Linked DNA regions of Tamandua tetradactyla. The protein of the gene in region 1 binds, or shares a complex with, the protein of each later gene. Links are inferred from orthologs where the notes say so. Each region holds a gene or a part of one and is shown on either strand. Other genes may lie near its edges.

Evidence for each region. Proteins that work in one complex are often made in the same cells at the same time.
Region 2: MED23 (region 1) and MED21 share a complex: the UniProt entries of both Homo sapiens proteins name them as parts of the mediator complex. The link is inferred for Tamandua tetradactyla from reciprocal best matches to the Homo sapiens genes MED23 and MED21.

The regions. Positions count from the first base shown.
Region 1 is NC_135351.1:31,606,258-31,613,274, reverse strand, and holds the start of MED23 (mediator of RNA polymerase II transcription subunit 23), read left to right. Parts: upstream 1-3,994; 5' UTR 3,995-4,131; coding exon 4,132-4,179; intron 4,180-4,534; coding exon 4,535-4,566; intron 4,567-4,736; coding exon 4,737-4,824; intron 4,825-7,017. UniProt on the Homo sapiens protein: Required for transcriptional activation subsequent to the assembly of the pre-initiation complex. Component of the Mediator complex, a coactivator involved in the regulated transcription of nearly all RNA polymerase II-dependent genes.
Region 2 is NC_135333.1:90,067,842-90,075,067, reverse strand, and holds the start of MED21 (mediator of RNA polymerase II transcription subunit 21), read right to left. Parts: upstream 3,025-7,226; 5' UTR 2,975-3,024; coding exon 2,933-2,974; intron 1-2,932. UniProt on the Homo sapiens protein: Component of the Mediator complex, a coactivator involved in the regulated transcription of nearly all RNA polymerase II-dependent genes.

The DNA.
Region 1 (7,017 bases):
TGTTGTAGTGCCATCTAGTGGTCCTACCTTTTACCTGGCTTTGCCTTGTAATCATCGAATTTACAGCAAAAGGTCAATATACCAAAATGAACTGTATCTGTATATGCTAGCAACAAACAATTGGAGCATAGAATCTTAAAAATACTATTTAAAATAGCACCCAAAAACCGTGTAAAATATTTAGGAATAAATTTAAGAAAAGATATACAAGACTAGTGTACTGAAAACCACAAAATAGAGCCAATAAAATTTAAAGAAGCCCTAAATAAAAGGAGAGATCTATCATGTTCATGGATTGAAAGGTTCAGTATTGTTTAGTTATAAACTGCCCACAAACTGTGCTACAGAGTCCATCCAATTCCAATCAAAATACCAGTATGTTTCCTCCCAACTTCGGATAAATTGATAAGCTGATTCCAGAAATGCAAAAGACATCTATAATAGTCAAAATGAGCTTCAAAAAAAAGTTGAAGAAAATACCTTATCCTTTTTCATGACTTACTAAATTATAGTACTTGAGACAGTGTGATATTGACATTAGGAGAGAGTCCAGAAACCTATTAGACCTATATTAATACAAGGAAATTCACTGAAGAAAGGAAAATTGTTTTAACAAACAGTACTAGAACAAATGTATAAGCGTATGGAAAAAAATGAGTCTCAACCCCTACTGTACACTATTTACAAAAATTAATTCAGGATGGATCATGGCCCTCAACATTAAAGCTAAAACATAAATCCTCTGAGGAAAAAAAAAGACAAAACTGGAGGATATCTTCATGACCTCAAAGTAGACTAAGATTTCTTAGGCCACTGAAATGCTAACCATAAAATTTAAAGAGTTTTCAATTGGACTTCATCAAATTAAAATTTTTCCTAATCAAAAGATATCATCTAAAAATGAAAAGGCAACTTCTGGAGGACCTCTTTTCTTGCTCAGATGTGTGGCCTCGTTCTCTCTAGGCCCAGTTCTATAAGTGAAATCATTGTCCTCCCCGCCACGTGGGACATGACAACTAGGGGTGAAAGTCTCCCTGGTGGTATGGGAGATAACTCCCAGGGATGAGTCTAGCCTGGCACTGTAGGACCAAAAATGTCATCCTGACCAAAATGGGGAAAAGAAGTGGAACAAATAAGGGATCAGTGGCTGAGAAAGTTCAAAGAGATTCAAGAGGCTACTCTGGAGGTCACTCTTAGGCAAACTTCAGTTAGACATTGCTACCTACCATAACTTGCCAAATCCCAACTAAAATCATTCCAGACAATCTCAAAGAACACCTAGAGCAATATGTAAGATTCTACAAAAGTTTCATGCAATTGGAAAACTGTCCAGAAACCTACAACTTCCAGATAGGTCCCTGGACCAGATAAGTCCTGAAACCTAGAGGGCCCAGCCTCTCCAGAACATCAGCTAGTTCCATCTCCCTACTCCATATTATTGACAGCCCCTTCCAACATTAAAAAGTTAGAATGAGCATAGCCCAAGTACCCCTAAAGAGTGGGAGAAAGTTCAAAGATGATGGCTGAGTTATCCAGGAAAGGTAGAATTTAACAAATGAGTATAACTGCTGACTCATTATATTGGTATTTTAGTCTCCAGTATCTTGGAGCAGCTAGAAGTAAAAACCTAAAATCGTGGCATTGTAGCCCATACCAAACTTTGAAATCTGTTCTACAACTAATTGTTGTGCTGTGCTTTGAAACTTTTTGCTTTTCTGTATATATGTCATTTTTCACAAAAAAGAAAAAGTCAATTGTGATGATAAAAATATATTTACTCCTTCTAGTCTCTAATGTTCTGGAGCAGCTAGAAGGAAAAAATCTGAGATGATGGTATGATAGCCCATGACCAACTCTGGGATCTGTCCTGCAACTACTTGAAAACTATTCCTTTTTTCTTTCTTTGCTTTGTATATAAATTATACAATGTAAAAAGTGAAAAAAAGAAAAGGCAGGCCAGGGCTGGGAGAAAATGTTCACTATACATATATCTGATAAAGGATTGTATACAGATTATATAAGAACGCCTACAAATAAATAACAATAAGAGAAACCACACAATTAATAACGGACAAATAACTTGAACAGACCCTTCACAAAAGAATGGCCAATAAGATATGAAAAGGTATCAACATCATTAGTCAATCAGAAAATGCAAATTAACCCCCAAGGAGATACTGCTACCCACCACTTAGAACAACTGAAATAAAAAAAAAAACTGACAACACCAAATGTCCATAAGGACGCAGAACAACTGGAACTTTCCTCCAATAGTAGTGGGAGACAAATCAGTTCAACCACTTTGGACAACCGTTTGGCAATTTCTTATAAAGTTAATCATATGCTTTGACATAAACATGAATCAGAAATTCTGCTCCTAGGTATTTACCCAACAGTGGGGAAAATATATGTCTACAGAAAGACTAGTATGAGAATGTTTGCAACAACTTTATTCATAATCATCAAAAACTGAAAATAACCTAAATATCTATCAAAGGTGAATCAATAAATAGCTACATATAAATATAATGGAAGACAATTCAGCAATGACAAATATGGATGGATCTCAAAATATAATGTTGTGTGATAGGAGGCAGACACAAAAGATTACATGCTGTAGGATTCCAATGATATAAATTTCAAGAACAAGCAAAACGAATCAATGGTTATAGAAATGAAAACTGTTTACTTCTGGGAAGGGGAGTTACCTGCAAAGGAGCACCAGGAACTTTCTGAGGTGATAGAAATTTTCTATATTTTGATTGAGTGATAGTTACACAAAGTGCGAACATTTGTCAAAATTCATGGTTCTGTACAATTTAAAATTCACGCATTTATTATATGTAAATTATACATAAATCTTAAAAGTATTAGGGAAAAACACATTAAGTAGGTCTGGAAATGGATAGTCAATTTTTATTCAATGAATGCAGCATTAGCAAGCGTAATGCAACATTAATTTGCATTTGGTTATGGCAAAAAAGGAATTGTTTTCTGACCATTTTACCTTTGTAATTACAGAAGCCTTGGTCAATATTAAGATTAGTTGACATTTTGCCAAGAATACACTGATTTAGTTAGCAGGTAGAGTTTTCACCACATAATAGGTGAAAACTGTCTAGAACTAAAGTATGATTAAAGATAATCTGAAATACAGATAATCTGTTTTCCATAAAGAAAATAACAATAGATTATTAGAGAACTTGGGTTTTAATAACCCAGGCTCTGTTATTTTCCTGGGTTGAATGTACTGCAAAATCAATTATTTCAATACAATTTATTAAAATACCTACCAGTGCACTGAGCAGAGGGAGGATAAGTGTTGCGTAAGTGGAATGCTCTGCTACGGGTGCATACAAGATGTTAGATGAGGATAAATCACTTACCTCTAGGGGAGCAAGGCTAGCTTCATGAAGGTATAAAAATTAAACTATTTGAAGGAATGAAGCGGTCCCACTTACCTTCTGCTCTGACCTCCAGAGGATCAACCTACCTTTGACCTTTCTCCACTCCTATCCCCATAAAGAGGCTGCAGGTATTGAATAAAGGGCAATTATTTTTAGATGATTATAACTAAAAATGATAGCTATTCATTTTTTTTTCAATCTTTATCGAAAGCCTACAGCCAGCTCTGAGTCCGGGCACCTGGGCCACCATAGTTAAGCAACATGGTCCTTGTCGTCAGAAAAAGTGTGGTTTCAACACCCGCTGTTCGCGGAGCTCCAGGATGCCCCCCCCCCCCGCGCCCCTTTTTCTACCTTTTGCAGAAGCGTTAACCCGGAGCAGGAAGTAATTCCCACTCTGACCTGCAGGGCGCGCCCCGCAGCCGTCGACGCCTCCGAGTGACTTGTACTCGAGGTTCCTCTGGGGGGCGCTGTTGTGCGGCTCGCGGGCCGCCCTTCACCACAGGCGGAACTGGCTGGCCGGCTCGTAGTTTCTGGGAGTTCCTCCATCGGAGCGCACCGGGTTGTTCTCAGCTTCCGTGCAGGTCCGGGTTGTTTACGGGGCCGGGAGGAGACGCGCGGGGAGGGGCACCTGCGGAGGAAACCCGGGGCGAGCTGAGGTTTCCTCGGGCGTCTCAGCCCCTCGGCCGTCTGTTCCGGGAGCCGCTCGCCCCACAAGGCGTGGGCAATGGTACAGATGGAGACGCAGTTGCAGAGCATTTTTGAGGAGGTGGTGGTGAGTGGAGCGGCCCGGAACCCAGGGCGACGCGTCGGGGTGGGGAAAGCAGCGGGGCCGCGGACCCACGAGCCCGGCCTGGGCAGCCGCTTCGCTCTCCTCCCCTTGTTTTCACACGGAGTATGTATGTGTGCAGGAGGTTGTGATTGTCAAGTGCTGTCATTCGGGGTCTCTTTTGAAATCCACACATCCTTTGTGGTAGGCCTGGCTAGTATTGTTACATTCTGCGTCGCTGATCGGGGTGATTGTCATGCTACATTGTAATAAATCGTTAGGGGAGCTCCCCCCAGTTCCCACTCCTTTTTTTTTAATTCACATCGTTCACGTGTTTGCCTTTTTTTTTTAACCCCCACAGAAAACAGAAGTTATAGAAGAGGCTTTCCCTGGGTGAGTATAGTGCATGGCAGGTTTCTGTGTAAAAAACATGAGGGTGCTTTTGTAAGACGACTTAGGTTCGTCTTGGAGGATTATAATATAGACTATCCTGGTTAAGTTGAATTCACTTTTTTTTAAAGCTAGTGGCAAATAATCTCATTATTAATTTTTTTTTTTTTTAGTATGTTTATGGATACGCCTGAAGATGAAAAAACAAAACTTATCAGCTGTTTGGGGGCCTTCAGACAGTTTTGGGGTGGTCTTTCTCAGGTGAGCATTGCATTTTTTAATACATTCATTTGATGATTTGGGACCTCTTCTTTCCTTGAGTTTTACTCTGATGTTGCTGTTAGGAACGTCATTCCATTTTTCTGGAAAGGGAGAAATAAAATTGTCATTGTCTTTTCTTTCTTTCTCTATTCTGGCTTACATTTGTTTTAATCTACCTATTTTCAATGAAGAACCTATCTTGAGAAGTCAAGTTGATGACCGACCGCACAGTGTTGAGATATTTTCGCTAACCTATAATGAGATTCTTTATTTGATATTTGTTGAATGTCCCCCTGTTAGATTAAGATCATTTCACTAATTCTTCTGATTTATTTGATGCACTTGAAGACAACTGTGTTGGGCGTTGTAAAAGGATAAAAATGTCACCAACTTTACTCAACAGATGAAGGAACTATCACAACACTAATAGAGAAATTTGTTAAGGAGATAAAGATACCATAGTAAAGATGCAAAGGTAATGCAATAAAGATACAAAGATATCCAATTTAAAGGATACAAAAAATGTATTAAAAATGTAAAAAGTGCAGTAAAACATAGTAACAAAGGATAGTTACTGGGAAAAAAAAAGACCTGTGTCCCTGAAGAAGACAAAATGTGTGATCCTTATAGTTTGTAGTATATAATCTTCTCATAGTACATTAAGATAGGAAAATGAGAACTGTTTGCGGTTGAGCCACTGGTGGTTAGACTTCACAGGCAGGGGTCACATAGTCATAAGGCATTCAGATTTAAAATTTTTAAAAATTGTTCTGTAATAGGTAATACATTTATGTGGTTCAGAAAATACAAAAGGGAGGATCCAATGAAAAGTCACTCTTTTAGCTTAATCACCTGCTCTTTTTTTCTCTCTGCAGCCAGTGTCTCCAGTTTGTTTTTTTAGAAATATTTTATGCATATAGAATTGTACTTACAGAATGGTCATGTACTGTGTATGCTTGGTTAGCTCCTTGTTTTCTTCCCCATGATAATAAAAACTGAAGGTAATTCCACATCAGTCCAGTAAGAGTTATTCCTTCCTTCCTCCCACCTTCCCTCCAGTCTTCCCTTTCTTCTAGCAGCCTAATATGTATGTCCATGTCTTCATTATTCAACTCTTTGTCTATGAACTGACATTTTCATTGCCTCTTAAATTTTCCACTTTAAACAATGCTGTAACGAATTATAGTTTGCACAGGACATAGAATAAATGCTGGGTCAAAGGCCTGTCTGTTTGTAATTTTTATAAAATTGCATAATAGCCTTCCATAAGGGTTGTACTAGTTTACACTCCCACCTGCTATGTAAGAGAGTGTCTCTTCCTTGTAGCTTCACAATTGAGTGTTAATAAACTTCATGCTCTTTGCCAATCTAATAAGTCAGAAATTTTATCTCAGTATGCTTTTATTTCATGTTTCTGGAGTGAAGTTCGACATCTTTTCAGCATGTTTTAGTTCTAAATTTAGTAAACGTTTTAGGACTTAAGGTATGGTCCCATCTTCAAGAAGTACTAATGGAGGTGCCAAGAAGTAAATGGATATTTCTGAATCTGTGTCACATCAATAATACAAGTATGTATGAGGGACAGTGGTAATACAGAGGATGTATAGGATCTTCTTGGGTGTATCTCAGAAGACAAATTCTGATAGGGGCACAGGGTTTTAGTGTCACATTTAAAGCTTTGCTAGACTAGAAATTGGATATCTAATTGGATTTATAATCGATTGGGCTTCTAGGGGTTAAATTTATACTAACTTCTCATGAGGCTGATGTACTAATCCATAATGGATTTTCCCCCCAGCGAGACAGCAACATTTATATCTGCCGTTAAAGGCACTACTTCTCTTACTTCTTCAGGGTATCTGGAGGGTCAATTTACAGCCAGAATATTGACTACCTCAAAAGGTGTGAGATACCTGTTGTTTCCCTCCTCCTGTAGTAAATCTTTTTGTTTTGTTTTGTTTGTGAAAAATAACATATACCAAAAAAGCAATAAATTTCAAAGCACACCACAACAATTAGTTGTATAACAGATTTCAGAGTTTGGTATGGTTTATAGCAGAGACGATAGGATTTAATGAGTGAGTATGACTGGTGAATCATTATATTGAATTTCTTTTAGTTACCAGTGTCTTGGAGTAGCTAGAAGGAAAAGCCTAAAATTGTATTGTGACCCTTCAGTAGATCTTTTGTGAC
Region 2 (7,226 bases), on another chromosome or scaffold:
ATTGTTCAATATAAGAAAACCAATTAATTAACAATATTAATTAACATTAACAGAATGAAGGGAAAAAAACATGATCATCTCAATCGATGTAAAGAAGGCAACTGACAAAATCCAGCACCACTTTATGATGAAAACACTCAGAAAGCTAGGAATAGAAGGAAATTTCTTTAACATGATAAAGGACATATATGAAAAACCCACAACTAATATCATATTTAATGAGGAAAAACTGAAAGTTATCCCTCTAAGATCAGGAAAAAGACAAGGATGCTGGCTGTCACACTGATATTCACTATTGTACTGGAATTTCTGCCAGAGCAAATTAGTTAAGAAAAAGAAGGAAAAGGCATCAAAATTGGAAGGGAAGATGTAAAACTTTCTCTATTTGCAGATAACATGATCCTACATACAGAGAATCCTATAAAATCTACAACAAAGCTCCCAGAGCTAATAACTGAATTCAACAAACGTGGTCGGGTACAAGATTAACACACAAAATCTAGTAGTGTTTCTATAAACTAATAATGAATAATCAGAAGAAGGAATCAAATATCTAGGAATAAAGTTAACCAAGGATGTAAATGAATTGTGTATAGAAAACTACAAAGCAATGCTAAGAGAAATGAAGGAGGACCAAAATAAATGAGAGTATATTTCATATTCATTGACTGGAAAACTAAATATTCTTAAATGTCAACTCTACATTGACTTACAGCTCAATGCAATCCCAATAAAAATTTCAACAATCTTCTCTAGGGAAATGGAAAGGCCAATCATCAAATTATATGGAAGGTTAAAGTGACCCCCAAACAGCCAAAGCAATCTTGAAAAAGAACTAAGTTGAAGGACTCACACTTTCTGATCTTAAAATTTTTTACAAAGCCACTGTAATCAAAACATCTATGGTACTGGCACAAGGACAGACATATAGACCAATGGAATCAAATTGAGAACTCAGAAATTAATCTTCACATCTATGGCTAACTGATTTTTCACAAGGGGGCAAAGACTACTCAATCAGTTAAGAAGAATCTCTTCAACAAATGGTGCTGGGAAAACTAGATCTCTATTTACAAATGAATGAAGATGGACCGCTATCTCACACATCATACAAAAATCAACTCAAAATGGATCAAAGACTTAAATATAAGAGCCAGAACTATAAAACTCTTAGAAGAAAAAACAGGGAAGTATCTTCAAGACCTTGTATTAGGAAATGGTTTCTTCAACTTTATACCCAAAGCACAAGCCACAAAAGAAAAAACAGATAAATGGGACCTCAACCAACTTGAAAATTTTGTGCAAAAGACTTTATCATGAACATAAAACAACCTACCCAATGAGAGTAAACATCTGGAAACCACATATCCAATAAGGGATTAATATCTGTAATATATAAAGAAATCCTTCAACTCAACAAATAGACAACCAATCCAGTGTTAAAAATAGGCAAAAACTTGAATAGACATTTCTCTAATAAATAAATGGCCAAAAATCACATAAAAATATACACAACATCATGCGTCATCTGGGACATGCAAATCAAAATCATGAGACACCATTTTACACCCACTAGAAAGGCTTCTATTAAAAAAAAAAATCAAACAGAAAATTACAAGTGTCGGAGAGGAAGTGGAGACACAGGAATACTCATTCATTGCTGGTAGGAATGTAAAATGGTGCAGCCACTATGGGAAGACAGTTTGACAGTTCCTCAGAAAGTTAAGTATAGAATTACCATATGACCCAGCAATTTCACTACTCGGTATATATCCCCCAAAAATTTAAAGTAGGGATTCAAACTATTTGTACACCGAAGTTCATAGCGTCATTATTCATACTTGCCAAAAGATAGAAACAATCCAAGTGTCCACCAACTAATAAATGGTTAAACAAAAGCGGTTTATTCACACAAATGAATTTTATTCAGAATAAGGAATGAAGTTCTGATACAGGTGATAAAACTGATGAACCTTGAAGACATTATGCCGAGTGAAATGAGCCAGATATAAAAGGACACACATTGTATGATCAAACTGATATGAAATAATCAGAATAAGCAAATTCATAAAGTTAGAATCCAGAATACAGGTTACTATGGAATGCGGTGGAGGTAGAGAATAGGGAATTAAGGCTTAAACTATAGAGGGTTTCTATATAGGACAATGCAAAAGTTTTGGTAATGGATGGTGGTGAAGTTAGCACAACATTTTGAATGTATAAAAGCAATGAATTAGATATCTAGTAATGTAATTAAAACGGGAAATGCTATGTTGTATACATGTGGTTAATTTTTTTTAGTTCAAGGAACTGCACAACATAGTAAACTGTAAGTTAAGCCATCGACTACAGTTAATAAATTACAAAAATGAGCTTTCGTTAACTCTAACAAATGAATCATACCAATGCAAGTTTTTAATAAAAGTATTTAATACGGGAATCCTGTATTTTATGCATGAATCTTCTGTAAACTCACAATTTCTTCATTAAAAAAAGGTTCGAACACCAAGAACGGGTCGCCTTGGTGTATTAGTACCGATAACGGAAAAAAAAAAAAAAAAGATCTGCTTCCTACCCCCCTCTTCCGCCCCCTTAGAAGAGAATCCATAAACACCACTGACAAGAAATAAAACTTCTCAGAAAATTTGACAGGACCCTGGAGCACAAGAATCATAGTGGACTGCTGGGAAGGAGAGAGATCCTACGCTTCCCCTTCTCACTCTACCTGTTCCCTCCAGGAGCTCTGCGCAAAGCCCCCGCTGCCCGCCTCAATCTTCCCAGAGTTCCGAGGGGCCTCCTGCCATCCTACACTTTATACTGAGGCACCGCCTTCGTCCGTCCCCACGTCCAGGTTTATTTCTCGGGCCCTCTTCCTCCTTTGCTTTACCTTAGGAAAGGGGTAGACAGAGACAAATCTAAAGAATCCACTCACCGAGTTCACAGCATCTTGCAGCTGCGTGAGCCGATCCGCCATGTTGATGGCTCACGTAAAGCGACGCTGCAGCCTCTGCTCGTGCGCGATTGGGCGGCGCTAGTCGGGTCTTGGCCAATCACAGGGTGAAGTTGTCAGAAGAGGTGGAGTCGGAGTGCTCTCTGGGCAAGACTTTCTCAGATTAACTTTAAATTGATTCAGCTGGAACTCTTTTTGAGGAACTTGATGACAGTTCGGAGTCCGATTAGCTAGTAGGGCTGAAACTCTTCTCGAGGTTGTTAGGTGTTAAACACTTTGTGGCGACTATGGGACTCGGTGGGGGGCGGGGGTTTAAAGCATTTTTTTCTACCCTCCGCCACCATGTTTTAATTTTATAACAGCGTCTTAGACTACTTATTTTACGTTACTTTTATTTTCCAGGTGGACCATAAAACATATACCCAGCATGCAACTCCAAATACTTGGGAGTCACGATACCGACTTTAAACTCAGAAAATCCAAAGTAAAATTCACTAGACAACCGGGAAGTTCTGGTTGGAGTCCCTCCCTTGTTGTGTAGGGTCACGGAAGGGCTTAGCGAACTGGAGACTGGGTGCAAGCTGTTCGCGTTAATTCAGCGTGTGGGTGTACTGGGGAGTCTGACGCACGTGAAATGGAAACCGTCCAAAACAACTGAGTACTAGGCTGTATTGACTGTTAGAAAAGTACCGCGTAGTGAGATCTCCATGGGCTAAGGTGAGGCGTGAGAGAAGAGGAGGGTCGGTGGAGAGGAACATGGAGGTTTTACAATGTGTAGTCAGAAGAGGAGAGTTTCCTGGAAATAAGCGAGATTCATAGGTTGGGTAGGTTGCATTTTTAAAAGATACTCAGCGCAATTTAGACTCAGAATAGAGACCTATTTAAGTGTGAAGAGAGCTAATGTAAATTTGTTATTTAAGGAAAGTTATCCTGCAAGGGCTTGGGGGATAGCCTGAAAAGAAATGAGCCTAGAATCAGCAAATAACAGCTTTGTGGACTTTGAATAAACTCAGATACCGTCTTTCTCAAGGATTAGGCTGATTATCCCTGATTACCCTCCTAGGGTTGGAGGAGGGTGGGGGAAACAATCAATTGGGTAACTCTCTTGCTGGATTTATCCCAACCCTTGCTCGAGGGCTCGTCTCTGACTTTTCCTGGCATCTCACTCTCCATCCCTAAGCCTTCAAAGTTCCTGTTGGGGCTTTATTAGAAAGTAGGTGAGGCGACTCTTTCAAAATGGGGCTAATGAGCGGTGACTCTAGTTTGTTAAGAATAGTTTGGGGGGAATCTGTGACTTTTTTTCTCCTACCTGGTACAATACATGTACCTTATTGAATGCCTGCCGTGTGCCAGATGTGTATGTTGGGCGCTGAATTTTCAAAGATGAGTAAACCAGGGACTCATTAGGAGGAAGATTTTGCAGTTATCCAAGAGTGGGATGAGTTAAATTTAAATTAGGATTTTAATTCTGGTAAATGAAGAAAGGAGGCTAAAACATGTTTTTGAGGAAAATTTAACATGGATTGGTGATTGGTTAGATAAGACGGGATAAATGAAAGAATGCACTAAATGAGAATACTGAGTTTTTCAGCCTGACTCATGAGAACTTGGGCTCCTGGAGTAGAGGAGCCTCTTCAAGATAACTCATATTAGTACACACCTTGCTTCTAGATTTTCAGTTGCCTTGCAGAGACTACAGGTTGAAGACAACTATTTCTACCCGATTTTCAAGGTTTGCTGTAATCCAGCTCCAGCAAAGAGATCCAGCCTCACCTCCCAATCATTTTCTGAGTGAAATAAACCTCTGCTTCAGTCAAAGCCCCTGAATCCTTGTTTTCCCCAGTTTTTTTTTTTTTTTTTTTTTTTTTTTTGGCCATGGGCTCTGTTTTATTTTTCCAACTGCTAAAACAAACAGCATACAATGGGTTGGATCAAACAACAAGAATTTATTGGCTCAAGGTTTTGAGGCTAGGAGAAGTCCCAGATTGAGCATCAGCAAGGCAATGCTTTCTCACTGAAACTGTGGCATTCTGGGGCTGGCTTGTCTTTTCTCTTCTGACCTGTGGCAAATGCACATGGCAGCATCTTCTCCTTTCTCTCTGGGTTCTGATGTTTTCCGGCTCCTGTGGCTTCTTTTCCATGTCCAATTTCCTTTGCCTTTAAGTACTTCAGCCATACTGGATTAAGGCTCATTCAGTTCAGACACACCTTAACTAATAACAACTTCTGAGGTCCTATTTACGAATGGGTTCCCACCCATAAGACCAAGAGTTGGAATCTGAACATGTCTTTTGTGAGGAGGACGTGATTCAATACCTAACAGGCTCTTTTTTTTTTTTTTTTATGCTACATAACCACATACAAACACAAACATTCTTGTCATATGAACATTCCATTCTTGCTATATAATCAATAACTCACACTTTCATCACATAGTTGTATATTCATCATCATGATAATTTCTTAGAACTCCTGCATCAATTCAGAAAAAGCAATAAAAAAAACAGAAAAAAATTCATACATACCATACCCCTTACCCCTCCCCTTCACCAATCACCAGTATTTCAATCTACTAAATTTATTTTAACATTTGTTCCCCCTATTATTTATTTATTTTTAACCCGTATGTTTTACTTGTCCATCGATAAGGTAGACAAAAGGAGCATCAGACACAAGGTTCTCACAACCACACAGTCCAACTGTGACAGCAGTATCATCATATAGTTATCTTCAAGAAACATGGCCACCAGAGCACAGCTCCACATTTTCAGGCAGTTCCCTCCAGCCTCTCCATTACACCTTAACTAAATAGGTGATATCTATTTAATGTGTAAGAATAACCTCCAGGATAACCTCTCGACTCTTTTTGGAATCTCTCAGCTATTGACACTTTGTCTCATTTCGCCCTTCCCCCTTTTGGTCAAGATTTTCTCAATCCCTTGATGCTGAGTTCCAGCTTATTCTAGGATTTCTGTCCCACGTTGCCAGGAAGGTCCGCACCCCTGGGAGTCATGTCCCATGTGGAGAGGGGGAGGGCAGTGAGTTTGCTTGCTGTATCAGCGGAGAGAGAGAGGCCACATCTGAGCAACAGAAGAGGTTCTCTTGGGAGTGACTCTTAGGCCTAATTTTAAGTAGTCTTAGCTATCCTTTGCGGGGTTAAGTTTTATGTGAGCAATACCCAAATTGGAGACTCGTCCTATTGCTTTGGCTGTTCCCACTGCCTGTGAGAATATCAAGAATTCTCCCCTTGGGGAAGTTGAATTTTCCCCCTTTCTCACCATTCCCCCTAGGGAACTCTGCAAATACTTCCCTATTCACTGTTCAAATCGTTCTGGGATTTATCTGGGCATCACTCTGGCAAACCTACAAAATCTCATGAACAGCCTCCTTTTTAAAAAAATATTTTTATTGAGCTATCTTCACACACCATATAGTCCATCTAAAGTATACAATCAATGGCTCACAATATTGTCACATATTTGTGTACTCATCACCATGATCATTTTTTAGAACATTTGCATCACTCCAGGAAAAGAAATAAAAAAGAAAAACCATAATCCCCATACCCCTTACCTCTCCATATCACTTACCACTAGTATTGCAATGTACCCAATTTTTTAACCCCTTATTCCCCTTTTATTATTTATTTATTGTCATTTTTTTACTCATCTGCCCATACCCTTGGAAAAAGGAAGCATTAGCCACACGGGTTTCACAATTACATGGGCACACTGTAAAAGCTGTATAATTATATAGTGCTCTTCAAGAATCAAGGCTACTTCCAATGTTCTGGAGCAGCTAGAAGGAAAAATCTGAGATGATGGTATGGTAGCCCATGATAAACTTTGGGATGCTTTGAAAACTGCTTTTTTTCTTTGCTTTGTTTATGTGTTATACAATATTAAAAACAGTTTAAAAAAAACTATGTTGTAAACAGCTATACGTAAATAATTCTTGAGGAAGATCTATCAGCAGGCATGTCTACTGTCATAATGCTATTAAAAAGCAACAGCTTTCTTACCCTAAAAAAAATACACTGTGAACTAAAAAGGGATATCTATATAATGCATAAAAATAAACACTAGGATAACCTCTCGACTCTGTTTGAAATCATTTGGCCACTGAAACTTTGTTTTGTCTCATTTCTTTCTTCCCCTTTTTGGTCAAGAAGGTTTTTTCATTCCTATGGTGGCAGGTCCCAACTCATCTGAGGGAGTCATGTCCCATGCTGCCAGGGAGATTTACACCACTGGGAGTCATGTCTCACATAGTGGGC